Linked DNA regions of Xenopus tropicalis. The protein of the gene in region 1 binds, or shares a complex with, the protein of each later gene. Links are inferred from orthologs where the notes say so. Each region holds a gene or a part of one and is shown on either strand. Other genes may lie near its edges. The genes, in order: xrcc1 and aplf.

Region 1 (16,379 bases):
ACTATTTTTGAAAGACTCTGAATAAAAATGAATTACAAATGTTGTAGGTGAAAATTCCTGGGGACCTTCCCAATCTGTATCTGAGATACGAAGGGCAGTAGTGATGTTCGAGCTGGGCCGATACCCACGAACAGGTTCAGGCCGACCTCTGCACAACATTTTCAGGTTGCGGACGGGTTTGGGTTGAGCACTTGTGCTTCCCCGCCCGTGACCGTACACTGTGGATTTCTGGTTCTGGCTCTTATTTATAGGCACACGGCCGCCCCCCATTTGTGGGCGGGCCAGACACGGGTCTATAAATAGAGGGTAGGGTTCGGGCTGGGAGTAAAACTCGACATCACTAAGGCTGATGCCAGACGAGGCGTTTTTAAGCTGCATATTTTCTAATTCGGCGGCTGAAAAACGCACAATATCATCATCCATAGAAATAAATTAAAGGAGAAGGAAAAGCTAAGTCACTTGGGGGTGCCAAAATGTTAGGCACCCCCAAGTGACTTGAATCGCTTACCTTCTACCCAGGGCTGGTGCCCCTGTATGGAGAGAACAGCACCAGCCCGGGGTAGCAGCGATCGCTTCCTTCTTCGCTGCGCGCGCATGCGCAGTAGAGTGAAAAGCCGAACTTTAACAGAGAAGTCGGCTTTTTCACGCTACTGCGCATGCGCCGGACTCGGTGTCGCAGCGAAACGAAGGCGGAAAGAAGAAGCGCATCGCCCCAGGTGCCCCGGGCTGGTGCGGTTTTCTCCTACCAGGGGCACCAGCCCGGGGTACGAGGTAAGAGATTCAAGTCACTTGGGGGTGCTTAGCATTTTAGCACCCCCAAGTGACTTAGCCTTTCCTTCCCCTTTAAACAGTCTCGATGGAAAACACACTATGCGTAAATACGCTAGAAAACGCCTTACCATGGACTTTTCATGCATTTGCCGAAATACGCAGTTATTTGCACAGCAACCTATTCCTATGTATGCACAAAGGCAGCTGCCAGACCTTGCGGAAATACGCAGCGTTTTTTACTATTAGCACCATGGGAAACGGGATTTGCCACGTCATCAGTACTAGGCTGAAAAACGCCATAGTCAGGGGCTGTGTGGCTTGTGCAGCGTTTTTAGGCGGAGAAAATACGCAGCGTAAAAACGCCACGTCTGGCATCAGCCTTAAGCCCAGCTATTCTCCATTCCTCAGGCAGGTCACAGCCTTATACAGCACTATTTTAAATGTTCTGTGGACTTAAAAATGTCTATAATTTAAGATCCAACAGTAGATGGCGAAATTTATTCTTTCTTGCTTTGTTTGGCTATCAAAGTGGCGCATAAGAAAACGTGGGAACGCGGCTAAAAAAATTTGAGAAAAGTGCACAAAATTGAGAGAAGACACGACTGAAACTTTTATGAACGATTTTGCAAGTTTTGTCACAGTCTATAAAGCATGATTGCTAATAAACTTGATGAACAACTTGAATGCTAAATATAGACTCTGTGGCATCTCAACAGGTTTTTGGGTTTTTTTGACGTCTTGACAAACCTAGAATAGTCTTGGTAGAAAACGTAATCACAATTTTTCCGCGATTGCTGTTCCTGTCCTTAGAAAAATTGATGATTTGTGATTTTTGAGAAGACAAAATTCCAACTTTCTCCCTCCCCCTAAGGTGGGGTCACTGACCCTCTTTCTGTGCGAGTATTTGGGAAGCTCCACAGGTGCACCCCCTTCATTCCCATCTTTATATCTGTATGTAACCGACCCAGCCATTCAGTAGTATCAGAGAGATGCCTAATGGAAGGGCCACGCAAGGTAGCGCTTGTATCTAATATTCCTTCTTCAGTGGCATGTGGGCAGGCACTGCTTCGGTAGTATTTATATTGCCAGCAGATACAAATATATATAAAATGTAAATAGTGATGGACCGAAATGTACTTTTTTGTGTTTTTTTTCCTGGCTTGTGGAGATGCAACTGACTCGGTCATAGATAGAACACTACTGTTCACTGGTCCTTTCTCTTCCTATTTGATATAATTACCCCTTATTGGGGGCAGAACAGCCCTATTGGGTTTATTTCATGGTTAAATGATTCCCTTTTCTCTGTAATAATAAAACAGTACCTGTACTTGATCCCAACTAAGATATAATTACCCCTTATTGGGGGCAGAACAGCCCTATTGGGTTTATTTCATGGTTAAATTATTCCCTTTTCTCTGTAATAATAAAACAGTACCTGTACTTGATCCCAACTAAGATATAATTACCCCTTATTGGGGGCAGAACAGCCCTATTGGGTTTATTTCATGTTTAAATGATTCCCTTTTCTCTGTAATAATAAAACAGTACCTGTACTTGATCCCAACTAAGATATAATTACCCCTTATTGGGGCAGAACAGCCCTATTGGGTTTATTTCATGGTTAAATGATTCCCTTTTCTCTGTAATAATAAAACAGTACCTGTACTTGATCCCAACTAAGATATAATTACCCCTTATTGGGGGCAGAACAGTCCTATTTGGTTTATTCAATATTTAAATGATATTTAGCAGACTTAAATTATGGAGATCCAAATTACGGAAAACCCCAGGATGCAAGCATTCTGGATAACAGGTCCCATACCTGTACAAGAAACCATAAAAGAGAGGTGTAGCTGCAGGAAAAGCCCTAAGGATGCTTATAGTCTATACCAGTGTCCCCAACCAGTGGCTTGCGTGGAACATGTTGCTCATCACCCCCTTTTATGTTGTTCCTACCAGCTTCAAACTAGGTGGTCATTATTTAATTTTTGGCTTGAATTGAAGGTTGGAAGCCGGTTTTACTCCAAGCAGAACCTCCCTGTTGCAGGCAAGCAGGCCACATGGGGCTGCCAAATAGCCAATCACAGCCCTTATTTGGTATCCCCAAGGAAGTTTATTCATGCTTATGAGTAAATAAGGTTGGGGATCACTGGTCTGTACAAAGAGATAGCAAACCTTCCCTGGTACCAATACCACAGTAGCATTCTACAGTGAAGCAGAGAGGATAATGAGTAAAAATGAAGATTACACAATAGCGAATACATAACATTCACAACAATATCTCACACCTTACTCATGCAGCGCTGAGAATTCACACCCACACACAATGCAATTTTCTAGCTCAGATAAATTGTATTTAGGGCTGATCAAAAATAAAACAAAAAGTCAATGTGTAGACAAAGCACAGCCGACGTGTTCACTGAGCTCAGGAGTAGCTGGGAAGGGGGATCATACAATACACGCATTTGTTGGTAAAGACAGAACATATATTTATTTCTGTTTCCCACAAAAGTTTGGTTTTTTAATTTATTTACTTAAAAAAATTCATTTGCGCTGAATCTGAAACCAAACGTCAGGAATCCAAACTACTTAACCGATGTCTTGAGATGGGGCTCGTTAATGGTAATGGCACAGGTTATTGCTTGGCGCCAAAGCTTGTGAAATTGTCCCAAGCTGCTTCCCATTGCAGCGCGGCTATGGCACACCTGCCTGCCATCTTACTTGTGGTATCAGTCCCACGAGTCTGTGTAACGAATGCCGATTCTCGCTGCCCACAATGAGAAGAGATGCGGAATAAATGCCAGCACTTTTTGAAGAGCAAAATGTAACCTTGTGAGACTGGAGGAGATCCCCACTAAACCAACATGGCTACCCCATATCAGAGTACCCAGCTTTACCTCTACAGCCCCAATCAAACAAATGTGAGAAATGATGAGAGTAGCACCAAGTAGTGATAATGGTATGGCATTGGGGGGGGAAATTATCGGGGGAAATAATGCATTTTCCCCCAGCATTTGTTCAGCAAAAAAGAAAAAAAAAAATCTCTTTTTCAAGCTACTTAGTCAACTAAACTTACTACAGACTCCCCCGTTCCATAAAGTAGCAAACTTATTTTGCCAGCATTTATTCTGTCAATGACAATGGGTGGTCTTTTCTGGCTAATTTGTTGCTGAAGCCATTTGCCCTTTTTTCTGTAAAAGCGGCGCTGTACAGAGCAGACAGTAACACATCTGTAAAAACTGTTTGACCAAAGTAAATCCACAAATATCTAAGAAACCGGTCTGTTTACAAAATATACAACACTGTATAGTCTGATATCAGTCTGATATACACACACCAAGCAGGGCCACTGCACATCGCACCAGATCCAGTCCCAGGTGAAGGCCAGGTGTGAGCCCATTATTTGGAAATCCTGAAAATGCCCAGTCTGATGTGGCAGGTTGCCTCTTATGTTGTCTCAGGTTATCATTGGCTCTTACTCCTGCGGTACCACAACATACGGCTGGTGGGGAATGCACTTCTGTCGCTCGTTGCAGTTGTAGATCCAACGAGGCCGGACAAAAGACACGTTTGCATTTTCATTAAGAGCCTGGCAGTGAAAGGGGGCAGTTAATAACAATGACTATGTGAATATGTAAGCCTTAGTGCGGTCAGTGTGGGTCTGTATGTGAGTGGATAGGTCAGTGTGGGTCTGTATGTGAGTGGATAGATAGGTCAGTGTGGGTCTGTATGTGAGTGGATAGATAGGTCAGTATGGGTCTGTATGTGAGTGGATAGATAGGTCAGTATGGGTCTGTATGTGAGTGGATAGATAGGTCAGTATGGGTCTGTATGTGAGTGGATAGATAGGTCAGTGTGGGTCTGTATGTGAGTGGATAGATAGGTCAGTATGGGTCTGTATGTGAGTGTATAGATAGGTCAGTGTGGGTCTGTATGTGAGTGTATAGATAGGTCAGTGTGGGTCTGTATGTGAGTGGATAGATAGGTCAGTATGGGTCTGTATGTGAGTGTATAGATAGGTCAGTGTGGGTCTGTATGTGAGTGTATAGATAGGTCAGTATGGGTCTGTATGTGAGCGGATAGATAGGTCAGTATGGGTCTGTATGTGAGTGGATAGATAGGTCAGTGTGGGTCTGTATGTGAGTGGATAGATAGGTCAGTGTGGGTCTGTATGTGAGTGGATAGATAGGTCAGTGTGGGTCTGTATGTGAGTGGATAGATAGGTCAGTATGGGTCTGTATGTGAGTGGATAGATAGGTCAGTGTGGGTCTGTATGTGAGTGTATAGATAGGTCAGTATGGGTCTGTATGTGAGTGGATAGATAGGTCAGTGTGGGTCTGTATGTGAGTGGATAGGTCAGTGTGGGTCTGTATGTGAGTGGATAGGTCAGTATGGGTCTGTATGTGAGTGGATAGATAGGTCAGTATGGGTCTGTATGTGAGTGGATAGATAGGTCAGTGTGGGTCTGTATGTGAGTGGATAGATAGGTCAGTATGGGTCTGTATGTGTGTGGATAGATAGGTCAGTATGGGTCAGTGTGGGTCTGTATGTGAGTGGATAGATAGGTCAGTGTGGGTCTGTATGTGAGTGGATAGGTCAGTGTGGGTCTGTATGTGAGTGGATAGGTCAGTATGGGTCTGTATGTGAGTGGATAGATAGGTCAGTATGGGTCTGTATGTGAGTGGATAGATAGGTCAGTGTGGGTCTGTATGTGAGTGTATAGATAGGTCAGTATGGGTCTGTATGTGAGTGGATAGATAGGTCAGTATGGGTCTGTATGTGAGTGGATAGGTCAGTGTGGGTCTGTATGTGAGTGGATAGATAGGTCAGTGTGGGTCTGTATGTGAGTGGATAGGTCAGTGTGGGTCTGTATGTGAGTGGATAGATAGGTCAGTGTGGGTTGATAGATAGGTCAGTGTGGGTCTGTATGTGAGTGGATAGATAGGTCAGTGTGGGTCTGTATGTGAGTGGATAGGTCAGTGTGGGTCTGTATGTGAGTGGATAGGTCAGTATGGGTCTGTATGTGAGTGGATAGATAGGTCAGTATGGGTCTGTATGTGAGTGGATAGATAGGTCAGTGTGGGTCTGTATGTGAGTGGATAGATAGGTCAGTATGGGTCTGTATGTGTGTGGATAGATAGGTCAGTATGGGTCAGTGTGGGTCTGTATGTGAGTGGATAGATAGGTCAGTGTGGGTCTGTATGTGAGTGGATAGGTCAGTGTGGGTCTGTATGTGAGTGGATAGGTCAGTATGGGTCTGTATGTGAGTGGATAGATAGGTCAGTATGGGTCTGTATGTGAGTGGATAGATAGGTCAGTGTGGGTCTGTATGTGAGTGGATAGGTCAGTATGGGTCTGTATGTGAGTGGATAGATAGGTCAGTATGGGTCTGTATGTGTGTGGATAGATAGGTCAGTGTGGGTCTGTATGTGAGTGGATAGATAGGTCAGTGTGGGTCTGTATGTGAGTGGATAGATAGGTCAGTGTGGGTCTGTATGTGAGTGGATAGGTCAGTGTGGGTCTGTATGTGAGTGGATAGATAGGTCAGTGTGGGTCTGTATGTGAGTGGATAGGTCAGTGTGGGTCTGTATGTGAGTGGATAGATAGGTCAGTGTGGGTCTGTATGTGAGTGGATAGATAGGTCAGTATGGGTCTGTATGTGAGTGGATAGATAGGTCAGTATGGGTCTGTATGTGAGTGGATAGATAGGTCAGTATGGGTCTGTATGTGAGTGGATAGATAGGTCAGTGTGGGTCTGTATGTGAGTGGATAGATAGGTCAGTGTGGGTCTGTATGTGAGTGGATAGATAGGTCAGTATGGGTCTGTATGTGAGTGGATAGGTCAGTGTGGGTCTGTATGTGAGTGGATAGATAGGTCAGTGTGGGTCTGTATGTGAGTGGATAGATAGGTCAGTGTGGGTCTGTATGTGAGTGGATAGGTCAGTGTGGGTCTGTATGTGAGTGGATAGATAGGTCAGTGTGGGTCTGTATGTGAGTGGATAGATAGGTCAGTATGGGTCTGTATGTGAGTGGATAGATAGGTCAGTATGGGTCTGTATGTGAGTGGATAGATAGGTCAGTATGGGTCTGTATGTGAGTGGATAGATAGGTCAGTGTGGGTCTGTATGTGAGTGGATAGATAGGTCAGTGTGGGTCTGTATGTGAGTGGATAGATAGGTCAGTATGGGTCTGTATGTGAGTGGATTGATAGGTCAGTATAGGTTTGTGTGTGTTGGATTTACTTGATAGACTCTGGTCTATTTTCAACCCTATGTAACTATGTAAATCACATGAAATACTTACATCTTCAAAACGGTCATCCCATTCCTGGGCGGTGATCACAAACTGGACTTTTTCATTCATGTACTCCTCCAGCTCTCTACCGACACCAACAGAGTGAGACAAAGAAAGATGTGTGATTTAATAACAAGATGGGGGTAGATATGTCCCTAGAAGAATTTTGACAAAGGCTTGGGAGTAACGGGGGTGGGAGGGCAATGGAAGGTGTGTGTGTGCAGGGAGTGCATATGGGGGCATGACTGCCATCTTTGAACTGTGCTATTAAAAAGGGTTAATTTGCAGTCATACTCACAGAATAAACATATTGGTAATTAGTATTTAGGTTAATAAGGAACATGTGTATAATCCATTTTAATGACTTCCAAATAGGTTTTTCATTAAGCATTCCCTTTCTACCCATCCCACTCTACCCCTTGTTTGTGCCTCAAAAATGCTCTTAACCAGCTAGCGCTGCTCACATCAGCGAATCACACTCAGCAGAGCCGGCATTCTAGCGGGGGATGAAGCAGCAGATGCAAGCGGCACCTAATTAAATAGCAATAATGGCGCTGCTAAATGCGCAGCTTACCCATTGAAAGCAGTGATGTATCTGTGCAGCATCCGGCGCTCAGCAGCAGGGAACTCGCCATAGAGAAAGAACTTCTTCCCCAGGAACAGATCTGTGTGAGAAATCACTTTCACAGTCACATAAAGCATATCTGGCAGCAGATGGGATCTATAATCTTGTTATGCTTTGTGTGCGGGTAAAGCTGGCATCAAGCTCTGAACAGAGAAGCACACACTGGGGCAGAGCAAATGCCAGGGGAATCTTACAGCACAACCGATATGGCATGAATGGTTGGACTGGGAAACAGAGAAGCAATAGCAGGAAATGAGGGGGGTAAGAAGCCAGATACTAGGAATGGGTGGGAGAAAAGGAATGGAAGACAGATTAAAGGCAGTGGAGGAAAGGAAGATCAAATGGCAAGATAGATTTCAATACAAATGTTGCAGGACTGGGTTCTATTTCTTACATACCGGGCAGTTCGGGGATGGGAAGGTCCGGCTCTGGTTCCTCCTCCACGTCGGTGTTCTCATCAGTAGAGCCGGCGTATGGATCCTCGGGTTCAGCCTTAATGGCAGCTGCCTTCTTGCCTTGTTTCTCTTCATGGAACCTGAGGGATGGGGGGGGGCGGATTTTCTATTTATAATACAGCATGGAACCAAGGGTAGCCCAGGTCAGCTACATGCAAGCAACAAGAACCTACCTCCTTAGCTCTTCTTCTGTATCTTCCCCAGAATCCTCCAGATGGGGTTGCCTCTTACCTTGAAAAACAATGGTCAAGGTTATTCATTTTCAGCCCATCTCTACTCTGCTACTTGCATTTCCTCATCCTGCTCCCCCTTATCCATGCAGGAAATAAAGTAAAGTACAATTCTATTTCTAATTCAGCTTTCCTCTGCGTTTCCTTAGCCTCCCGCATTCTGCCCCCTAAACTTTCCTAACCGTATGCTAATGCCCCCCAATACCTGTGGCTTCCTCATCAGTGCTTGCGTTGTATTCATCCTCCTGTTTAGGTGTGTTGTTTGCTTTTGAGGAAACTATTCTGGGATTTTCATCCTCTGTTTCTTCGTCTTCACTTTTTATTGGAGTTTTCTTGACTTTGACCTTGGATGGACTCGGCGAAGGCCTTTTGTGGTTTGTGCGGCTGGGATCTGGAGTCTACAAATACAAAATAAAAATATTCTAACTGCTCTTCAGCAGTAAAGCTAGCTGCTGAGTGTTCTACCCCATATCAGAAAACAATGTCTATGACCCTAGAGGGCCCCTTCTGAGAGGAAACGCCATCCAAGGCCTCGTCTCTGATCTCACCGAAAGTATTGGCAAGTAGATACAGTGTCAGAGTCCTCAAAAGAAATCCTACAGAGTTACCCCGAGCAACAGGGTCTTCTCCACCCCCTAATTTACAATACTATGTAATTACCGGCTTATGTGGAGCTTTGGGGCGTTCATCTTCCTCACTATCATCCTCTTCATCACTACTGGAATCAGCTGAACCCAACAGGTACCTAAACAAACAGACAGAACTTAAAAGAGTCGCTTTCTGGTACACGCAAGAACAATCTGCATCAAATGACCAAATGACTGCATTAAGTGCATGTAATAAAATATAACACACAGTACAATCCCACAACAGTCCCTTGCTGCAGCCTACAGAGCTACAGGATAAACCTTGTTTATATATATTATATATATATATATATATATATACATATACATACAGTGGCTTGCAAAAGTATTCGGCCCCCTTGAACTTCTCCACAAAGTTGGCCTTTATGGAAGAGTGGCAAGAAGAAAGCCATTGTTAACAGAAAACCATAAGAAGTCCCGTTTGCAGTTTGCCACAAGCCATGTGGGGGACACAGCAAGCATGTGGAAAAAGGTGCTCTGGTCAGATGAGACCAAAATGGAACTTTTTGGCCAAAATGCAAAATGCTATGTGTGGCGGAAAACTAACACTGCACATCACTCTGAACACACCATCCCCACTGTCACATATGGGGGGGCAGCATCATGCTCTAGGGGGGCTTCTCTTCAGCAGGGACAGGGAAGCTGCTCAGAGTTGATGGGAAGATGGATGGAGCCAAATACAGGGCAATCTTGGAAGAAAACCTCTTGGAGTCTGCAAAAGACTTGAGACTGGGGCGGAGGTTCACCTTCCAGCAGGACAACGACCCTAAACATAAAGCCAGGGCAACAATGGAATGGTTTAAAACAAAACATATCCATGTGTTAGAATGGCCCAGTCAAAGTCCAGATCTAAATCCAATCGAGAATCTGTGGCAAGATCTGAAAACTGCTGTTCCCAAACGCTGTCCATCTAATCTGACTGAGCTGGAGCTGTTTTGCAAAGAAGAATGGGCAAGGATTTCAGTCTGTAGATGTGCAAAGCTGGTAGAGACATACCCTAAAAGCCTGGCAACTGTAATTGCAGCAAAAGGTGGTTCTACAAAGTATTGACTCAGGGGGCTGAATAATTACGCACACCCCACTTTGCAGTTATTTATTTGTAAAAAATGTTTGGAATCATGTATGATTTTCGTTCCACTTCTCACGTGTACACCACTTTGTATTGGTCTTTCACGTGGAATTCCAATAAAATTGATTCATGTTTGTGGCTGTAATGTGACAAAATGTGGAAAAGTTCAAGGGGGCTGAATACTTTTGCAAGCCACTGTATATATTTATTAGAGGTAAAGTCCTTTTTTATGCTGGCTATAGCATTGTAAGTAAGTTATCTTTTTCCAGACAGTTTTTTCCCAGGCAAACAATAGTTTCAAACCAACTCTATGCACTTACTGCTTGTACGGCAGCCGTTGCTTTTTCTTGTAGCAGTCCAGGATCCACTCCTTTCGCACGATGATACCCCCCGCTGATTTCACCTGGCTGAATTTAGGGGTATTTGCAAAAGCACATCTGGAAACAGAAAAACTCAAGTGAGTAAAATTACTGTCTGGCGCATTAAAAAACTCTAACCCCAATATGTAATAAAAGGCATTAAGTTTGCCCAGGTGCAGTAATCCATAGCAACCAATAAGATGCTTGCTTTTAAACAGGTGACCAGTAAATGCTACCTGCTGATTGGTTACTGCACCTGGGCATATTTAATTCCTTTTATTACATCACCCCTTATATGTAGTGCCAAATCTAACCAGCTAAACGACAACGTCCCATGATTAGGGGAATATACTTTTCTAAAGTTAACTTTTAGTATGTTATAGAATGGTCAATTCTAAGCTCACTCCCTGGTTGCTAAGGTAACTTGGACCTGAGCAACCAAATAGCTGCTGAAACTCCACACGGGAGAGCTCCTGAAGTGACATTGAAATAACTAAAAATCTTCAAATAATAAAAAATGAAGACCAATTGCAAATTGTCTCAGCATATTACTCTCTACATCATGTTATAAGATAACTTAAAGGCGAACAACCGCTTTAAGTACATTTTGCCCTTTCCTAAGTATGACATGCACCATTCCCAAGAAAATGGCACGTTCTACTTCAAGCTCTTTTTTCCCTCTTATTCAAGGGAGATACTCCCTGTACGTACATGAGATGAGTACTGTCTGGGGTCCAATCTGGCCTGTACTTGGCTCCCATCTCTAATGCTTTATCACGGAGGTCAGATCGGAAGGGATTCTGAAAGCCACTTAGCACAAACACTGTGCCCTGCAGAATGCGACCCAGTTCCATTTGCTGAGGAGCCGGTGAGGACTTTTTCTGGGCAGGCTTCTCCGATGGAGAAGGCTTCTTTGTAGGAGGGACAGTCTGTGTTTCAACTGCAGGAAAGAACACAATATATTACATAGTTAGCTCAGCATATAGATCACTTCACAAAAGCAGGTGAAAATCCCTCCATGGGCCCTAAAGACATACTATATATCAGTGTTCCCCAACCAGTGGCTCGTGAGTAACATGTTGCTCCCCAACCCCTTGGATGTTGCTCTCAGTGGCCTCAAAGCATGTGATTATTTTTGAATTCCTGGTAAGGAGGCAGGTTTTGGTTGCATAAAAACCAAGTATAATGACAAACAGAGCCTTCTGTAGGCTGTCAGTCCACATAGGGGCTATTAAGCTGCCAATTATAGCTCTTATTTGCACTCCCAGGAACCTTTTTCATGTGTTGCTCCCCAACACTTTTTTCAATTAAATGTGGCTCACGGGTATAAAAGGTTGGGGATCCCTGCTATATATTAACCCTGCCACAGATATGCTATGTAATATTATGACACTACAACATACCCAGACGTGGAATTAAATCTCAAGGCTCACAGAAATCACGTGACAGGTACGCTGCTACTGTGTCCCAGCCTCAAGGTGTCATCCAAGTGAAGGAAAAAAAAAATTTTTTTTACCTTTTGGCTTTTTGGGTGCTGGCTGTGATGTGCTCTCTTTGGCGGAAGATGGGGACTTATTGACTTCGTGTTTCTTGACTGCCGAGTGGCTTGAGGGTTCTTTACTGAACTCAAACTTCCGTTTACCAGATGACGGTTCCTAGAGAGAACAGCAACTGCTCAGAACAAACTAGAACTTCACTGGCATTGGTCTTTGGATGTTAAAGGGGACCAATTCTTTGTATTTGTTTAATGAAAACATTGAGACAAATATATTTCCCCTCTTACTTTTGTCCATAAGCTCCTATGCTGCCGTTACCAACTCATCTTTCCAACTTGACCCTCAGTAAAAATACATTATTTCTTGCTGTCTGACCACAACCTTCCTTTTTAAGCTCTAGAAGACTTTCTGTAGTCTCAATCCCCCTATACGTAGCCAGCAAGGGTTATGGGTTAGTGCCCAAAGGGACATGGTGTAACATCTCTGGGACACAGCTGACAATAAAGCTGCCACATTTGGAACATCTGTAGCGCATACATGGGTATGATAGGTATACCCTATGCTGATAGAGGAGACAGAGGCGGTCGGTGTATCCATGCCCACACCCAACTTACTCACCTTTGGGATGTTATTACTTGGTGGGGTTTTAACAGTCTGTTTTTCAGTGCTGGAGCTGGCCTCTCCTGTGCCCTGTAATGTCGCAGACGCATAGCTTTGTGTGGCTGGTGGAGCTGTAAAAGAACACAATAGCTAAGTGGCAGTATAAAGGGAATAGTGTTGGAGGGAGAATTTAAAAACTCTTAGTATGTTATAGAATGGTCAATTCTAAGCAACTTTTCAATTGCCCTTCATTATTTATGTGTTTTGAATAACTTGCCACCTTCTCTATGGAGTTTTGAAAAGGGGGTCACTGATCCGGCAGCCAGAAATCAATTGCTCTGTTAGGCTACAGTATTATTGTTATTGTTACTTTATTTTCTATTCAGTCCCTTTCCTATTCATATATCAGTTTCTCATTCAAACCACGCCCTGGTTGCTAAGGTAACTCTGACCCTAACAACCAAATAACTACTGAAACTCCAGGCTGGAGAGCTCCTGAACTGAAAATAATAAAAAATGAAGACCAATTGCAAAATATCTCAGAATATCACTCTCTACATCATAGTAAAAGTTAACTCAAAAGGTAAACAACCCCTTTATAGCTGTTTTGCCATATGGTTGCAGTACAAGCCATGAAGTAAAGTAACCCTATGACTCAAGAGTTACTGTACCTGCAATGTACCTAATAGCGTAGGTAATGCAATGCACACAGTTTCTGTACAAGTTTCAGGGGCACTCACACATTTCAGAAAATAACTAATAGAGGGAATTACAAGGGATATGTGCAGAATAGCTTACTTTTCGGAGGAGTAACCTGCGGCTTGCTGGTGCGGCTGAAAAACAGACTCCCGGGACGCATAGAAGGAGATGAGTTCTCTTCTTCCTTTACCATAAACTGCCCAAGTTTGGTCACTTTCTGCAGAAGAGCATAGTAATGATTTATAATCCATGGCAGCATAAACACAAGGTGAACTTTCCTAAACCGGCACTGTTCAAAATTAGGTCAGCCTGTCATGTAAGCTGATGAGACAGAGCTGAATGTGCAGGGAACCAGCAGAAAAGAAGATATGGGGGGGGCTACTGGGGCATCTTTGGGGGCACAGATCTTCCCTGCTAAAGGGCTGTGGTTGCCTTGGGCCAACCACAAGTTCTGGGATAAGTGCTGATTTGCAGTCTTAGATATCACTGGAACTACAACCTATGAATGATATAAAGTTTTACATGTTAGTAACCTTTGCTATTAGGTAAGTGATTAAATGAAGACGGGATTAAAAAGGGCATGAGCAAAGAAATATTTATGGTCCCCTATATCACAGATAATGAATTGTTCCTTATGTAGAACCCCTTGTATTTGCTTATGTATCAGTCAAGCAAGCACAGGTAGAATGCATACCGGTGAGGGAGCGGTGGGCGAGCCATCCTCTGGAGGGGAGTTCAGACGTATGAATGAAATACCATAAGCAAGGTTCTAATGAGACAAGAGAACATGAAATGGTTTATAGAAAAACGTGCATCCAGCTATATACTAAAGGCTTGCCAACAAACTCCACAGAAATTACCACACTTCAGCAAAGGAAAAGTGTACTTCTCATGCCTGATCCGCACCCAACCTGAACCCACAACGGTCGCCCAAATTTCAACTCTAACTTACCTGACCTCGACCCACACATCACAACAAATACTAATTGTATCTACATTCTGTTTGTTAATTATATATCCCACAAAGCTCTCCGCTCTGTAAGCAGACACTGCACACCTTAGTGTAGGGTTGGGTGCACACAATCTTCACCCGATCCCATTTCTTTTCAGCTGCTCCTTTCACGAGCTTGTCTGGTCCGAACATTCGCAGCCGATTCAGGTTGCTTTCATTCTTGCTCTCGCTAGGAGACATGAACGATGACATTCCCAGGAGGACCTATGCAGAGACAAGCAAGATGGGAATTGGCACATCAGGTCTGTATTCCTCACAACTGTACTAACTTGCTATCTGCATTTACATTCTGTGAGCTCTGGAGAGTAAAATGCTATAGCAAACTATCCCTAAGCAGGAACACACAGAGTTTTCGTCACTTTCTTCACTGACTCTATATCATTAATCACAAAGCGCTGAGGACACGGTATTGTATTTACCACACTATCCCTAAGTATGAGATTGGCCCTGGGTAGTTGATGGTGTCCAGAGTTCTCCTTAACCAGCAGCACCCCCATCCTCAAGGAGCACGACCAACTTAAATGCCATTTCCGTTTGCTAAATGTTTAGGGAGCTTTACAGACATAGGATGCTCTCGCTATAGCCTGTGCTTTTTCTGCCTCCATATTAATGGTAATCTTTTTTACTTTAATAAACAATCATCCCAACCACTGCATATGGCACTATAGGTACCTGCCATACCTCATATTCCTGCTCGCTGATTGAAGTGGAGTGTCCGACCAGCACTTCCACAAACGCAGAACCTTCATTGCCAATATCAATGCTGTGGACCTGCTCCTCCTTTTCAAACTGCAGAAAATCAAAGGCACCAGAGTAAGCTGAGGTCAGTACCCATGCACGTATAGGCACACACGGCATGAAATTAGAGCAGTAATTATTTTTTATTTCATTTATTGCTGTTATTTATATAGTGCAGCTACATTTCCGCAGCGCTTTTACAGAGATTATTCATCAGTCCCTGCCCCAGATCTTACAATCTAGGGTCCCTATCACATTCACACACACTATGGTCAGTTTAATCAGAAGCCAATTAACGTGCCTGTATGTTTTTAAAGTGTGGGAGGAAACCGACGTACCCAGATGAAACCCATGCAGTGAGAACATACAAATGCGTTGCAGAGAGAGCCCTGGTCGGGATTGAACTGAAGACCCCAGAACTGCAAGGCAGAAGTGCTACCCACAGAGCCACCATGTAATTAGCAAGTTATCTCTCAAAGGAACACACTTAGCAACTTTCCAAGGGTCTGCGCTGGGCAGCCACTAGGCAAAACCACTGGTTAGAAACAAACCCACCATAATCCCATACACATGCATTTCACCTAGCAAATCAGAAAGGTGTGTCTCTGCTGGTAGAAGCTATTGCACTGCGCCAACCTTTCAATTACCTTCACTTGACAGTCTTGAAAGAAATTAACTAGTTAATTAAAGGGCCAGTATAATGTCCTTATTCTCATTTTCAGTGAAATACAGGAAGCAAGCCATACCCTTAGGGAAGCATAGGATAAGCATGGCTACTGCTCAGTTGCTAATTCACAAAGCTTTCTCTCACTCACTCACTCTACATTCCATACCTGCAAAATGACGGAGATCTGCTTCTCCCCAGGGCGGGCGGCTTTCCATTTGCGGTATGTGTCGGCTTTCAGCAGGTTCTCTGCTGTGTGTGTCTGAGGAGCACAAAAGTTTGTCGACAGTTAAAGGTGAGGGTGTCTCTAACTGCCAAACCATTCCCATTGTGTATTTGTCAAACAGAATTCTGGGAGCGTTTACACTGGCTGTTCAAACAATGAGCTGTGTGTGTGTTATTTACCTGCTAACTAAACAGCATCAGAATGCTTGGCACTCATCCCTCATTGCTCCTACAAGGGTTGTGTGAAAGCACCAACACAGAAACCTCCTCACAATCCGCATAGAGGGAGCAATTTAGGGATATCGATGTAAGAACGACACCTGCACCATGTGCATTGCCTTAAAGGACAAGTAAACCCCATAGCCTTTTTGAAATATTTAAATACCTGTCACTCTGGTTGTTCAAAGGTTAATAGTAAGGCTGCAGCATCCCCTTAATCACATAGTATTCCTTCTCCTCCTGTAACCCACTTGCCTCCCCCTCCCTTAGGAACAG
Region 2 (16,379 bases), on another chromosome or scaffold:
AAGATCTCTTATTCAGAAAACCCCAGGTCCCAAGAGTTCTGTTGTATGTTTATTTTGCCACATATGCAAAATATTTTGATATGATTATTAATGTAACTAATTTCCCTGATTTTAGTTTTTCCAGCCCCTTGAAAAACATAATATGGGATATATAATTGGGTTTGACAGTAGTACTTGCACCGGTGCAATCAATGTTCCCTTGCCTTACGGTGTCTATTTTTCTACTTTTTAAGCTAACGTACAAGCTTAATATGGCTACAATACTATATTTGGTAAACCCTAACCGTAGGCGTGCAAGTCTGAATGATTTCAGAGCGAGAAACGCTATATTGTGTTAACTGAGCTGTGTTGGATTGTGTTAGTGATTGCAATCTTGTATTTAACCTTGTTTCTTATGGTATGAATGGGATTAGATTGTTTGTACATACTTGCTCATTGACATAATGCTGTTGAGTTCAAACCTTTATACAAATAGAATGTATTTGTTACCCACTAAAGAACGTCATTTACTAATCTGGAGATTTTATATAAAATTGGTTTAGAAAATTATAAATATGCTTGCTTTCTACTTATCTTTTTTTCCTTGCTGATTTAAGCACAAAGCAGAGATTGTAAAATGCATGTCCGTAATATTTATAATGCAGTATTCATGCACCCTTGGAAGGACCCTCGTAATAAGTGTGACCCTAACATGTTAAATATCTTTGGCACTGCAACAATCCACTTAAGTCATTCCCCTCCATGATAAGTTATTTTTGCGGCGCAACAGACCATAAAGCATCTAAGTGCACAATCAATTTTGATTTAATAAAAAACCTCGAAAGAATGTTTTTATAAATCTGGACACAGTCTGTGCTCTATTAGTCCAAATATGTGCTTAGAAAAATCGATGGGCAATGTGCACTGGCTATATTCTCTTCATTGAAGCATGCACGCGTGATCCTATATCCTTATTGTCTACGATTAAGGGATCATTGTGAAAAATACTCTAATGAAAATAGGGCTTCTAATTCTTATTAACAACGATTTCCCCGGTGCAGCTGTTTCACTGATGGGACCCGTTGAATGGATTTTCAGCCAACTTGCTGACCTAGCAGTAATGACAAGGAGGAAAAAGTGCAAACCAGATTAGTTTTTTTTAATTAAATAGGTATCATATTGAATAACTATGGTTTCTGAAAAGCCACCGGGGGTTATGAAGTAATGTTCGGAACCCCTATCCACCATCTAACTATTATAGACCAGTAAAAGTTACAGATTGGATGCTACAGGACCAGGACAGACTGCATAAACCCCTAGAAAGGTTTACTAACCATACTCTCATTTGTTACAGCATTTAAAGAAACAGTAACACCAATGAATGAAAATATATTAAAGAAATTAAACTATAATGTACTGCTGCCCTGCACTGGTAAATGTTGTGTGGTGGCTTCAGAAACACTACTAGAATTTATATAAATACCCTGCTGTGTAGCCATGGGGGCAGCCATTTAAAAGGCGAAAAGGCACAGGTTATATAGCAGCTAACAGATTAAAACGTGTAGAATACAATGGTGTATTATGTGCTATCTGCTATGTAACCTGTGCCCTTTCTCCTTTTCTCCAGCATGAATGGCTGCCCCCTGGCTACACAGCAGGGTATTTATATAAACTATAGTAGGGTTCCTGAAGCAAACACACCAGTTGTACCAGCTCAGGGCAACAATAATTTTTTGGCGTTCCTTTAATGTACTTAGCATTATATATGGTCCTCTCCCAGTGAAGTCTTCTATAAAGCACAGAAAATGTTGCTTGATAAAGACCCTTTTGATTGGGCTTCAAAAGTGCTTATACAGGATGTAACGGAAGCGCATGAAAACAAAAATGGTGTATTACATTTTAAATGAAAGAGTGCAACACACAATAAATATAAAGTGCAATGTTCTAATAAACTCCTCCACCAGTGTGGTTTAATAAGTGTGTACACTCACCAGTCTCAGGGAAGCAAATGCCAAACCAATCAATAGCTTTGTTGCCAAGGTCTGCTGATCAGCCTTGGGCCAAAAATTATAATAGCCATCATTGCACACCATCAGAAGAGGAGAGCATCAATACACCAATGGGAAAATCAAACCTGCCCCTCTGATTTCTGCATGATTTTGCTGCCACTCATGCAGGGCCATCAGGGTGCCCCATACAAGGGCCTATAAGCTGCTAACTTGGTCCTTCCGGCCCATGTGCATCTATGGCCATTTTTACTTGATTATTTAAAGCTTTCCAAAGAATATGTGTAACGACCACCATTGAAAGCAGTTTCTTCACTGGCAGAGAAAATGGCAATTCTGCCCATGCTTGTAGTCAATAACATGAATGGCATCCATCTTTCACTGAAAACATGGGGTGGATTAAAGGATGTGTACTTCATATATCCCTTCAGTTTGCCAGCGCCATTACATGTTACTAAAAAAATAGCAGCTTTTACCTGGTGGCCATTTTCCCTCTGACACATCATCAGTGATGTTTACATCTACAAACAGCACAAATGTGCTGTAATGTTAATGCAATGAAGAATGCAGGCTTACACAGGCAGAACATATGGAGATATACATTTTTGCTTGGATTGAGCACTGTAATGGTTAAAGGAGAAGGAAAGGCTAAGTCACTTGGGGGTGCCAAATGTTAGGCACCCCCAAGTGACTTAAATCGCTTACCTTGTACCCTGGGCTGGTGCCCCTGTTATGAGAAAACAGCCCCAGCCCGGGGTACCTGTAGGAAGCGCTTCCTCCTTCCTTTTTCTTCTGCCGGTGAAATCCGTGGGCCGGCGCATGCGCAGTAGAGTGAAAAGCCGACTTTCTTGTTTAAGTTCGGCTTTTCACTCTACTGCGCATGCACGCGCGGCGCTACAGGAAGTAGGAAGCACTCGCTGCTACCCCGGGCTGGTGCTGTTCTCTCCGTACAGGGGAACCAGCCCAGGGTAAAAGGTAGGCGATCTAAGTCACTTGGAGGGTGCCTAACATTTTGGCACCCCCAAGTGGCTTAGCCTTTCCTTCTCCTTTAAGCTGAGACCAGGAGAGGTGGTTAGGAGAGAAAACATATTTATTAAGCAGAGTGCACAGCTAGTTTTCATGGAAACCAGTAATGCCATAAAGAACTGAGCATGATCAGTAGCCAACAGCCAAACACATTCCCAAGGGAGGGGCTGAGTGGGTTAGAGGAGGAGAAGGAATCACAAAGTGATAAAGGGGATGCTGCAGCCTTACTATTAACCTTTGACCAACAGGAGTGGCAGGTATTTAAAGATTTCAGAGAGGCTGTTAACTGATTTTTTGTGGGCGGATTTACATGCCCTTTAAGGCCCAAAAATGCGCACACAAGCTTTTTCAGGCTGAAATCCACTCCATATATATACAATGTCAGATGGGGTTCTTTGGTCACTGACTGCAGGCACAAGTAGTATCAGCATTGATGTTTTCCGTATTGATGTTTTCTCACCTAAAGACATTAGCCTTCCATCTTCCTTTGTGTATTAGCATCACCAAGTGTAAAACAGAGTTATCTGCTTTGTGGTCACTTGTTTCCTTCTTTTTAAATTACTTTCACTGTAGACCTTCTCTAGATGCATCAACATTCATAGACCCTGGGGCAGTTGGTTTTCACGCGTTCATTGTCCTATTAAAAAAAAAAGTACATTTTGTATTCTACATATCGGCAGGTATAAACCATTTATTTCTTGATCTTTTCCGTGCTTTTTATATTAACATGCAAATCTACATATTGAGACCAAAAAAGTTTGGTTATTTGAATTTTATTTCATGTTACATTCTTGGAATAGATCATTGTGTAATAAAGTAGAATACCTGCTGTTCCTAATTAAATGGCCGCTTCTCTCGGGAACAAATTAATTATTTCTAGCTATGGGAAATGTTACATAGTTACAGTTTTACAGCCTAATAATTGCACAAAAGAAACCCACTATGCAGTGTAAAAATGAATTGCCTTTAACTTTAGAGTCTGTATTGAGGAAGTGATTGATGTTCAAACTTTCAACTAATAGAGGAATTGACCTGCAGAGTTTGTTGTTATGGAAAACAAGCTCTTGTTGATTGTGATTGATGAAAACTCCTAGTACTTCCAGCTGATAGAACAATAGATTCAGAGATTGCATTCATGAAGGAACTCTTCACAGAGAGCTTACAGGTGATCAAACCCATTATGATTTCAGTATGTAATCTTTACCATTCCTGTAGCGTGGGAGTGAAATGTTCTGCTTATAAATGAACTAAGAGATAGCAGTTTCAGCAACAAGCTAGTAAAATACAATAGGGCTCATGTACGTCCACAAGTCCAGTTGCGGTCCAGGTAATTTCCCCGCAGTCAGCTGTGCGTAAAAAAAGGTACTTGCATTAAAATGTGCTCTCTCTATAGTTGCACTCAGCGGCGCTCAGTCTGTCCTGTTTTCCATTCTGAAATGGGTGTTGCTGCACCTATTAATGCATGGAAACCCTGAAGCTACTGCCACCTCCAAACCAAGTGATAGCTCCAGGGTTCCTGTAGCACCCTGCAATTATGCATCGCTGCAGTTAAGCTGAAATTTTGGGGAAAAATATATGTAAGATAAAATGTTGCCTTCTGATTTTTCTTTTTTGGTAAGTAAACCCAGGTGCTAACTGTGGGTAGTATTTAAGGCCTAGATAAAAAATATAAAGCAAAGCAGTTCCCTAGGTTAATGTTTCTTAAACTGTGAATTCTGATGGAATGCACTGATCATTGTACCTTCCAACACACTGGAGCACAGTCCTAAACAGATATATTTTGAGGTGGCCATACACAGGGCGATTTAAGATGCCAGTTTATCAGCCCATGTTTGGGGCCCTCAGACAGGTCTGTCTGACCGATATCTTGGTGAAAATTGGGCAGATGTCGATTGGGCAGGTTTAAAAATCTCATCAGGGTGAAGAGTGAGGCTTATTAATGTGGTCCTGGTTCCGATGGCCTGCATCATGTCAATGTGATCTGATCGGATCAATCCGATATTGCCCACTTCAAGGTTGGCATATAGGGTTGATAAAGTTGATCTTTCAGTATATGGCCAGGGTTAGATCCTATATAGATTAAAAGTAGTGTACAATACCAGCACAATAGAATTGTTTTTTGGGATTCTTTTTTTACCCTCCATCCTATTTATGTGTTGTTCATAATTACATATAACATATTTCAAACTTTTTTATATCATAGTTATATTTTTCTTTTTATTACGTGTAACTTTAATGTGAATGATTGTAGATTTAGGCTGCTGTAGTCCTTCCAGTGATGCAGATTGCTGTGATCAGTCTGGAAAAGCTGTCAAACAGTGACTATAACTGTACTGTATTTGGAAAGCCTAAAATTGTAAAGCAAAAGTTTATACCCTAGGAGACGTTTCTTCAGTTTCAATGGATTCTTTGTGCTTTTCATTTCGTTATGTGGAATGCAAAAAAATGACAGGTTTCAACTGCAAAAAAAGATGTCCCCCCTGCTGAAACACTTGCTGTTCTTTGATCTCCTTTTCTGTAATAACAAAAATGCAATTTTTCTTTTTTTGTAGGTGCATGTGAATCCCTGTTTTTATCAAGGTCCTGGTGGAAACACATTTATTCCTTTGGAAAAAGACAAATGGCATTGGTTACACTCTGGGGACTGTTTTTCTCTTTTGCCAGATAAATATACATTCAAAGTCATTGCTGACACTTCTACAGAGGAGAGTACTGAAAGGTAAAGTAACATATTTCAAGTGATATATAAATATATATATATATATGTTGCTATTTTTTATACATAGATTCCTAGCAGAGGAAGGATCATATGAATGAAGATCTGCTGCAAAGGGAGGGGTTGTGGGGTAGGGTATGTAAACAGTACAGAAAGGGGTATGCACCCCCTTGTTCACCTTGAGTTCAATGAATAGTTTTTATGCTGAACATACTTTTTGCCTATTGTTATAATCACAAAAAATCTGTTTTTTTGTTATTTCTTGAGCTAAACAGGGAAATTAAAGCTACTCTGTGTTTGGCCCTTGAGTGGTAATAATTAGAATACCAGTACACAGGTAATCCCCTAGCTAACAAAACAGTCACAGCAAAGAGGGAAGCTAGGGATAGTATTCTGGTAATTTAAACTACCTCACAAGGACCAAACATGCAGTAGCTTCAATTTCCCTCAAGAAAACAAAAACCATAGATTTGCTAGAAATAGGGCATTCTATAACATACTAAAAGTTTATTAAAATGTGAACCACCCCTTTAAAAAATAAGTATGCTTTAACTGTGACTTGTACAGGTATGGGACCTGTTATCTGGAAAGCCGTTATCCAGAAAGTTCAGAATTACGGAAAGGCCATCTCCTATTATAAAAAAATAATTTTGCTTTTTAAAAATGATTTCCTTTTTCTTTGTAATAATAAAACAGAACATTGTACTTGACCCCAACTAAAATATCATTAATCCCTACTGGGGCAAAACAATCCTATTGGGTTTAATAATATTTAAATGATTTTGGACTTAAAGTTTGGCGATCCAAATTACGGAAAGACCCCTAATCCGGAAAACCCCAGGTCCCGAGCATTCTGGATAATGGGTCCCATACCTGTACTGGTAATAAGTAATAGGCGTCTGTCTGTGTATGTATTTCAGTAGCTGTCTGGCTACTAGGGATTTACCCTAGCAAACCAGGCAGTGGTTTGAATGAGAGGTCGGAAAATGAGTAGAAGAAGGCCTGAATAAAAATATAAACAAAAAAAGTTACAATAACAATAAAATTGTAGCTTAACAACAGGGTAATAGTTTTTAGCTGCTGGGGTCAATTACACCCATTTGAAAGCTAGAAAGAGGCAGATGAGGAAGGCAAATATTTCAAAAACTATAATAAATAGTAATAACACATTGCAAAGTTGCTAGGAATAGGGAATTCTATAATACACTAGAAGGTAACTCAAACGTGAACCACCCCTTTATGGAATAAGTACACATTTTTATTTTAGAATGCCTAAAATGACTCTAAACAGCCTCTAAAATGACACACCTCCCTACTTAGAGTCCGATGTCCGATCTAGTGGGAAGTTCCGACAGCTCCTTGACCTATTCAAAGTAGAAGGAAGGCTCAGCATACTAAAGGGGAACAGAGATTCACCCTATAAAAGGAAAGTGACTGATTTCTGCAGCATGTTTCAGTTTCTATCTTAGAAACTCAATGTAGGGAGAGACTTTCGGGGTCATTTAGAGTTTTTTAGGGATTTTAAAAGGTTTACTTTTTCTTTAATGATCTAAGGGCTGTTCAGATATATTTTGAAATGTAGTTATATTTATTTAATATTTTGAATGAATACAGAACCCTATAAACCTGTGAACTGTTGGTTCAGCCAGTTTTGCTGATATTAGCCATTGTTATTCTTGTTTAGTTGGGGCTTAATTTTTTGCATTTCAAAAAACAAAAGTTAATCAAAAAACTTTTTCACGTGTGAAAGTCAAACTGACTTCTAACTGTATAACTTTAATGTTAAAAACCAACATCACATTTAAAAAAAAGTTTTTTTTACAATAATTAAATAGCCCCTTATTACCTTGATTTTATGGGAATATATAATTCCAGCTTGCTACCATGATAGTATACTTTTATCATTTTAGAAAATTTTGGTTGAAAGTGCGTGATTCAGTGCACTTCGTCTTAAATTATTTTTCCAGAACACCAGGCTTGTCGATTGATGATGTGTCTGCTTTGGCGTTACTGTTGTCTAAACTAACGTGCTATTACTTTTGGGTCATGAGTTTCAAGGCTGTTGTGACAGAGCTAATTTGGCTTGACAGCACTCTGATGGCAGGTGATGGTTCTGTCAATGTCTTTTAAATTTGCTTTTGCTGTTCACAAATGAGTCATGAATTATAGTCTCAACCTTCACCTGCAGCCTGATTGTTATTTGTCTTTCTACTAAAGCTATATTTTTCCAGGCCCCACAAGGATGGCTGTAAGCAAGTTGCTGGATAATAATTGGTGTTCATAGAAATGCATGATTTTTTTTTTAATATTTTTTCTAATAAATTGAACTACCTAATAGTCTTATAGGATAATTATGGTTTGAACATTCCCTGTTGCAGTGACCCTGGTGATAAGAGATGAATGGGAAACAGGATTTAAGAAAAATAGCTAATAGGAGAAGCACAGTTTTTCTAGATTTTACAAGGCTTTATAAAGGGCAGCAGAAAATAATATAATTCTGTTCTGTGGTTTTCACTGTTTTATAAACAAACCCTTCTATATCCATGTTGAGTAAAACTCATAGAAAGTAAAGAATCAACTCTGATTATTTAGGAGGCATTTGTGTAAAGCTCCTTTTGATTGCTTAAATAACTTATGTGACTTGATGGAATTAAAGTGGAAAAGTGCATTTTCTCCTTATGCCTGTGGCTGGAGTTAATGGACTAATGGCCGTATCCTTTCCCACTTAGATTACTGCAATCTCCTACTAGCCCTTGTAACTCTATCCTTGAATCCCTCCGTAGGGAATACTCACTCTCTTAAAGATAAAAGTCAGATGCTACCTTCTGGAGCACTAAAACATTATTTTGTCTAGTCCTGCGCTTAAGGGCAAATGCACATACCTGGTACAATTTGTCTCCTGTATGTTACCCAACCATTTAGATTGTAAGCTCTACGGGGCAGGGACCTCCTTCCTACTGTGTCTCATACCACATGGCACTTAACCTCTCCGTATTTATACTTATTTATTGTATTTATTGTATTTTATCTTTCTTCTATCCATGGAAATAAATCCTGGCATAAATTACACGTTATTTTAATTATTTATTATAATAATATATAGTAATATACATTATAATATTAATTTTATGTTATCATGCACGCACAACTAAATATGAATGTGTTTGTCAGGTGGCAAAACAGCCAATATACTGCACTCACATATCTTTTAAAAATGTACCGTAATAAAAACTTCCCTTCTTGTGAAGGCCTTCAAATGGCTCTGAAACATTAAATGAATAAGCAGGTAAAGGTAAAATTTTGATTTATTAAAGGATAATTAAACCTTAAATAAGCAATGTAAAACTACTTAGGGTGGTTTTCTAAGCACATTTGCAATTTATATTAATTATTTTTTCTGTTTTAGAGCTGTTTAAGTTTTTATTAACTGCCAATATAATGAATTTTGTAACAACAGCACCACTTTTTTTCCAATTTTCCATTACATTTTTGGTGTTTACTTATCCTTTTAAGACCTGACAGTTCAATATATTGTCCGCTTTCCTCTATGCCTATGTTACCTACATGCAGGTACTGCTGTCTGTTCTTGGTATGCACACATAGTAAAATAGTACATAGTACATGGATGTGTGTGTATCTATATATCTATAAACCTATTCTTATACTTTACAGAAATGTTCATATCACCAACAAGACGAGTGAAATAGCTGATAATCCCAGCTGCTCTTTGGATACTACTAAAACAAGAGATGAGGAACCTTCTTGCTCAGCCTGGGGTGCTAAGAAACCTTACCCAAATCCTGCTTCAGATGCTCAAGGTGAGAAGACCAAATCCCTGCTAAACAGTCAGGTAAGTCACTATGAATTTATTTCATAAAGGATATTACCTGTATATTTAAATTTGTATTCAGGATGTGCTGGTTATTGAATGGACTTCTTTTAAATACAGTCCAGAGTGTAATTGTGTACAAGAAGTAATTTTACCTGTACCTGACTGACACCCATAGGCGGATGGGGATTTTTTTGTTTGGGGAGGCTAAAAATGTTGGGTATCTATATGCAATGACAGTTACCCCACTCATACAGAAAAGCATTTTTTACATGCGTTTTCCTGTGCTGGATCTTGCATGTGTTTCATCCCAGGGGAACACAAAAAGAAACGCATGCCTGTATTTTCTATTTACTGTGACTGTAGTCACTGTGGCACAGGCAAGCGTGGAATGCAGGTGTAATGTGCTCTGTTAGGGGCTTACCTGCACCACAAAGAGTACAGCCTAATACGTAAATAGGCCTGCATTTCTTCTTGTGCTGAGACACATGAAAGATCCAGCACATGGAAACGCAGGGAAAAAACACTGTAAGAGCCAAGAACAATTTTTAAAAAATGTTGTCACACACATACGTTGACAACTTTAAAATACTGAAGTAAAAATGCAGTTTGGAGCAGTTAGGGTAACAGAAAAAAAGCATTCATTTTTTGGTAGCATTGGTCCTTTACAGTTGAAATTTTTTTTTTTAACTGTGTTCAGTTCCATAACGCTGTCTCTCTAAGAACACTTAATATGAGTTCATATTTCTAGCACCCCAAATCCTTTATCACTCCGTATCATTTCCTAAAAAGATTAATCATAAATAAAACTATTCATCTTCAAACAGGGGTGTTTCTGGGGTCTATGCTGCCCTGAGGCAGCCTTTCAGATGCTGCCTCCCTCGCAGAGGTATGAAGAGGGGGCCACATTGCTAGTACAGAGTCGAAAATGCGATTTGAAATCTGAATTTCAGCTCTTAAAGCTACCAGGAGCAGCTTTTTGCCGCCCATAGTAATTTGCAGGCTTATGGCAGCGGCGCCCGTCTTCAGAATATCCAGCTATTGCTGATCTGCAACTGCTTTCAGTCTTTTACTGCCATTGGCATTGGTCTGATATCTAGTGGACTCTCATAGTTAATATCACAAGCATTAGGAATGTGTATCAATTGACTTCTTATTGCCAGTGGAAAGAAACTGATTTTTCCTGTGATAGTTACTTTCAGCTGCCATGGACAGCTCAGTTCCACTAACTGTGGCAGGGACAATCAACCATAATTAAGGCAGGTAATTTCATAGCTGTTATTATAAATCATTAGAGGATTGGTGGGGAAAGGTAAATGTAGCCACTAAAAAAGTAAAAACGGCTCTCAAGCTGCCCGCGCAGCTTGCTGGCCGGGACATGGGTATGTAGGTTAAGTGACTTGTCCAAGGTCACAAGGTGCACCTAGGGTGGAATTGAACCCGAGTCCCAGTGAGTCACCCCACTGAAGGCCGATTCCCTAACCACTAGGCTATCTGAGTCCTCCCACTTGTAGGAGGATCTTTTTGGTCTGTTGTCTTAGATATGGTGTGTGAAGGAAACATTCAGGGTTAAAGCCAGCTGCTTGCACCAAGACCTGTATGAGTAGGGGGACTGTTAATTAAGTAGAGAGAATTAATCTGGAAACTGTGCTGCACTATTCATAACATAAAAATAGGCACAACATCTATTTGAAAAGTGTTTGACCTGAAAGCAGGTGCTTGTATGGCTATTCAAGCTGGACCCAATAAAGCCCTATGTGGGTTTTATGAGAGACTTTCCATAGAAGGCTGGCCGGCCACTTATATCATGTATGTTTCTGCTTTTTAAATGTGTATATTGACAGACAGATATTGGTAGATAGTTTAGAAGCAGGATGAGCAAACAGGAACAGAGCTGCCAATCAGTGGGAAGTGCCAGAACACAAGAGACTTTTATCAGGGCTGCCATCAGAAACTTTGGGTCCCCATACAAGTTAATTATATGGGTCCCCCCATGAACACAAGGATGGCACTGGGCAGTGAGTGACACATGGGTAATGGCATATGGGTGAAAAGCCTGTTATGACCGGCATTACATGAGGGATATATGGGGATAGGAGAGAGGTTAATAAATAAAAATAATGAAGAAGGCAGTAACTGACACATAGTGGTTGGATGAGAGTGACATATAGGGAGAGGAGGTGGCACATAAAACACATGAAAGATCCAGCACAGGGAAACGCAGGGAAAAACACTTGTCTGTAAGAGCCATGAACACATTTTTTTTAAGCTTTTGTCACACACATACGTTGACAACTTTAAAATTCTGACGTAAAAATGCAGTTTGGAGCAGAAAAAAAACATTCATGTTTTGGTGGCATTGGTCCTTTACAGCTGAAATTTTTTTTTAACTCTATTCAGTTCCATAACGCTGTCTCTCTAAGAACACTTAATATGAGATTAATTCTAAACCAACAGCTGCCTTACAATCAACTCCCAGCATTTATTTTGAAGTTCTACAGATTGTCTCTTGCATTTTTCTGTCAACTCCCAGCCAGTCCAGCCATTATCAGCTTAATATCTCCAGTTCCAAAACTTAAGCCCCTACAATAACCAATTCCAGCTCAACATTTCTCCCTTAACTTTAGTTCATATTTCTAGCACCCCAATCCTTTATCACTCCCTATCATTTCCTAGAAAGAGTAATCTAGATAGCCCCAAAAGAATCAGTTTCCACCTCAGACTTAACTTGGGTGTACTTCTAATTTTTATGAGCTGAACATTAGATCTATTACAGCTATGTAAAACTTTGCCAGCACTCCTACAGTTCCGATATAGTACAAGACTATAAAAATAAATGATATATAAAGGAATATACGTGTGCTTATCTTACTAATACGGTAAAGCAGCACCTTCTCTAGCTCTCTGCATTGCTTTCCCTCAGTAATTTTAGCTCCGTGTAGCTACTCCCTCTGCTGGGCGGGCTAATGTTACACTGGGAAGGAAGGCAGGGGAGAGTAGCAGACTATGCGCAGAAAGGAAGATTGTACTTAGCCTGAAAGGTGGCATACATTAAGGCTGGATTGTTATTATACTTGCACCCCTTCACATCACAACCCTCCTTTCCCCACACAGCCCTGCTAGTGATACGCTGATGTCTAATCTTAACCTGCAACCTCCCTCACATTCCGTTTTCAGTTAGAAACTTGTACAGCATTATATTGCAAACAAGTTCAGGTAAATTTACAAAGGACTTAAGTTTGGGGAGGCTTAGCCTCCCTAAGCCTCTATTAAAATCCGCCTATGCTGACACCTGTATCCCACCGTTTCCAGTTCATTTAAAGGAATAGTTCACCTCAAGTTAACTTTTAGTATGTTATGGACAGGGCTGGACTGGGCTGGCAGGGCACTGAGAAAAAAAAACGGTGGGACCCAGACCCAATCACCAGCGACACTCTCCCCCTGAGATCCCTCCCCAATCGCGACTAAAATAAGTAATGTAGCCAAAAGAAAATTGCTCCATGAGACTACAATTGTATTGTTAATTTTACTTTTTATTATTACTTATCTTACAATACAGGTCCTCTTCTATTTATCTTCCAGTCTTTCATTCAAACCACTCAAACTCAAACAACTAAAGAGCAGACTAAACAAAAAGTTCCAGACTAAACAAAAAGTGTCAAAAAATGTCTCACAATATATCTGCCTGCATTGTCTGAAGGGGCTGGCCTGATTTATCAGTGTTTGAGTGCAAAAGCCATTTTAAAACTCAAATGTACAATATTTATTAAAGGAATCAGTTAATTGAGTTTCTCCAGCAGAATCCTACATTGAAATCTGATTTCAAAAACACAAACAGATTTTTTTATATTTAATTTTGAAATTTCACATGGGGCTAGCCATATTCTTTATTTCCCAGGGTGCCACAGCCATGTTACCTGTGCTCTTATAAACTTCAGTCACACTTTACTGCTGAGCTGCAAGTTGGAGTGATATCACCCACCTCCCAGCACCTGATCAGCAGAACAATGGGAAGGGAGCAAGATAGCAGCTCCCAGTAGGTATCAGAATAGCACTCAATAGTAAGAAATCCTAGTCTGGCTTAGGACTCCTCCAGTTACATGGGAGTAGGAGAAACAGTGTGTAGCACTGGCACCTTCTGAAAGCTCAGACTCAGGCACAATGCACAATGGCGCCTACACAACAATACTACAGCTAAAAAAAAGTACATTTATTGGTTCAAGAATAAAATTTTAAATGGTAGAGTGAATTATTTGCTATGGAAACAGTGTACCGTATTTTTCGCCGTATAAGACGCACTTTTTCTTCCCCAAAACTGGGGGGGAAAAGTTGGTGCGTCTTATACAACAAATACCGTATATGTATATGCAATATGCGCTTGTTGCGCGCACCCAGCCCCCCCCCCCCCCGTGGACGACCTTGCGCTGCGTTGCGCGCATGACATAATGCGTGGCGCGACGCTGCACCATCGAGGGGCGATTGTTTCGCTCGTTGCGCATCCACCCCCCCTCCGTGGATGTCCGTACCATGCGTCCTCTTCCCCTTGCAGTGCCGATCGGAAGATGCGCTGTTAGTGGCTGTGTCTGTGCGGCAGCCTTCAGCCCATGCAAATCCTGGAGCCTCCTCCTGCTGCTGCTGGGGCAGCCAGGCAGTAATCACATGCCTCATTATGTGCGAGCCCAGAGACAGGCAGGGCTGCAGTCCACAGAGGGAGGAACAATTAACACAGCACACAGCAGGATGGCAAGTACTTGATAATTAGTATATTATATAGTTCAGAATCTTTTTTTTCTAGATTTTCCGCCTTTAAAATTGGGTGCGTCTTATATTCCGGAGCATCTTATATGGCGAAAAATACAGTAATTTAGAAATAAAAAGTACACCATAAAAATCATGACAGTATCCCTTTAAGAAAAAATAAGCAGAAAGCTCAAATGTAAAACGTTGCGAGTTCATGTACAAGCCAATGGGAGTTGTCCTAGCAAAATGTGTCGGTTTTTTCAATTTAAGTTTTGATTTTTTTTTTTAGAGTTTGTAGATCACATTCGAGTTTGGTAAAAACTTGAGTTTATTCAAATTTTAAAAAACTCAAAAGTTCACAAATTCATATTTTGATAAATCCGCCTCCAAAGGGGAACTACCACTTTGACAAAAGGCAGCACATAAACCTATATTTTGACCATTTAAGCCCAATAGCTGTTGGAAGTAGTTTAAATACAGTCTTACATCCTATTCCCTACTGAACTGTGTATGGTAACCTTTATTGTCTTTCCCTGTTTCCCTTTAAATTGTTAAAGGAGTGTCTGAGATTTTAATTTTTTCTTATCTACAACCTAATTTTAGTTCCACTATCCTTATAAATGTTATATTTGGGCATTTTTATCAGATGCACCACAACGTAGCCTTCTATGACATTTTCAGCTGGTATAATATATTCAGAGTACAGCACTTTTTATTGTTTCAAATGCCACACTGATTTGTTCCCTGGCTATTTCTGCTTATCAATCACATGTCATTGCTTATCATCCATTTTTATCTGCAAAAAATGTTCTCACTCGTACTGACACAACATTTTTTTTTTTGTTTTTTCATAATCTAATTTTAAATATGTATAAATATTTGAAAACACATTTCTGCTGCCTTTTCCTTCATAACTCATTTCTGCAATGTAGTTGGATCATGTATGACAGGCACAGTTGAATTTCCTTTCTATATTTGTAACTTCATTGTAATTGTTGTACAGGTATGGGATCTGTTATCCAGAATGCTTTAGACCGGGATTTTTTTGGATAAGGAATCTTTCCAAAATTTGGATCGCCATACTTAAAAATGAAGATTTATCAAAATTCAGTATGGTTGATATTTATTAAAGAAAAAAATCCTCGAAAAGTCACCAGAAAAAAAAAAAGCAAGTTAAAGGAGAAGGAAAGTCATTTTGACATTTTATATTTATTCTGCAGAAAGCATTACCATACCTGAGTAAACAGCCCTAGAAGCTCCCTCTGTTTGTTTAAGATTGCAGCCGCCGTTTTAGCTTGGTCTTCATAGCTTCTGTGCTGTGCTGGTAGCTCAGATCACACATTCTGATGGGAGGCGGAGTGAATTCTTCTTAGAATTCGTATAGCTGTATTTACATAGACCTTTCTGCTAAAGCTTACTAAGTTTGTGATTCTCGCCAGTGTGAGAGAATTTTTTTTGTAAATAAGCTTGCATTTAAGAAGACAAGTTTCAGTTTTTTTCACATCATCGTTTTTTTCCCCACAAACCTCGAATTTTGATAAATCTGCCCCAAAATTATTTTAACATCAAATAAACCCAATAGGATTGTTTTTCCACCAATGCTGATTCATGCAGTCCAAGGTACTTTTATTATTATAGAAAATCTGGGGCAGATTTACTAATGCACGAACGAACCGAAAGCGTCTGAACGCGTTTTTTTTCGCAATGATCAGTATTTTTGCAACTTTTTTTCGCCGCTGTCGCGACTTTTTCGTATGTCCTGCGATTTTTTCGTCGCCGTTACGTCTTTATTGTATATTTTCCACGACTTTTTCACCGCCGTCGCGAAAAAATCGGATTGGTTTTTCCTCTGTTTACAATTGCTCAACTCGAAAAAATCGCGATGGCGACGAAAAAGTTGCGCAAAATACGATAAAGTTGTGATGCCAACGAAAAAATCATACAAAATACAAAAAAAACATGACGGCGACGAAAAAGTCGCAAAATATACGTTTCCAATCCGATTTTTTCCCATTCGGGATTCGGATTCATGGATTGGTAAATGTGCCCCTATGTTTTAAAATTTTGAATCATTCAATTAAAA

What was found.
Region 2: the proteins of xrcc1 (region 1) and aplf are in contact, whole or in part, in a crystal structure (PDB 5W7X), measured with the Homo sapiens proteins. The link is inferred for Xenopus tropicalis from reciprocal best matches to the Homo sapiens genes XRCC1 and APLF. Residues at the interface, in NP_006288.2 of Homo sapiens: Pro514, Tyr515, Ala516, Gly517, Ser518, Thr519, Asp520; in NP_775816.1 of Homo sapiens: Arg27, Gly28, Pro29, Gly32, Ile33, Thr34, Lys36, Arg37, Val38, Ser39, Arg40, Arg41, His58, Asn60.

The regions. Positions count from the first base shown.
Region 1 is NC_030683.2:118,934,092-118,950,470, reverse strand, and holds the end of xrcc1 (DNA repair protein XRCC1), read right to left. Parts: intron 15,922-16,379; coding exon 15,829-15,921; intron 15,047-15,828; coding exon 14,939-15,046; intron 14,462-14,938; coding exon 14,303-14,461; intron 14,015-14,302; coding exon 13,940-14,014; intron 13,463-13,939; coding exon 13,345-13,462; intron 12,678-13,344; coding exon 12,565-12,677; intron 12,106-12,564; coding exon 11,967-12,105; intron 11,391-11,966; coding exon 11,162-11,390; intron 10,529-11,161; coding exon 10,412-10,528; intron 9,121-10,411; coding exon 9,036-9,120; intron 8,774-9,035; coding exon 8,581-8,773; intron 8,377-8,580; coding exon 8,319-8,376; intron 8,226-8,318; coding exon 8,089-8,225; intron 7,731-8,088; coding exon 7,640-7,730; intron 7,151-7,639; coding exon 7,075-7,150; intron 4,361-7,074; coding exon 4,247-4,360; 3' UTR 3,101-4,246; downstream 1-3,100. UniProt on the Homo sapiens protein: Scaffold protein involved in DNA single-strand break repair by mediating the assembly of DNA break repair protein complexes. Negatively regulates ADP-ribosyltransferase activity of PARP1 during base-excision repair in order to prevent excessive PARP1 activity.
Region 2 is NC_030681.2:30,350,500-30,366,878, reverse strand, and holds part of aplf (aprataxin and PNK-like factor), read left to right. Parts: intron 1-5,563; coding exon 5,564-5,730; intron 5,731-9,399; coding exon 9,400-9,577; intron 9,578-16,379. UniProt on the Homo sapiens protein: Histone chaperone involved in single-strand and double-strand DNA break repair.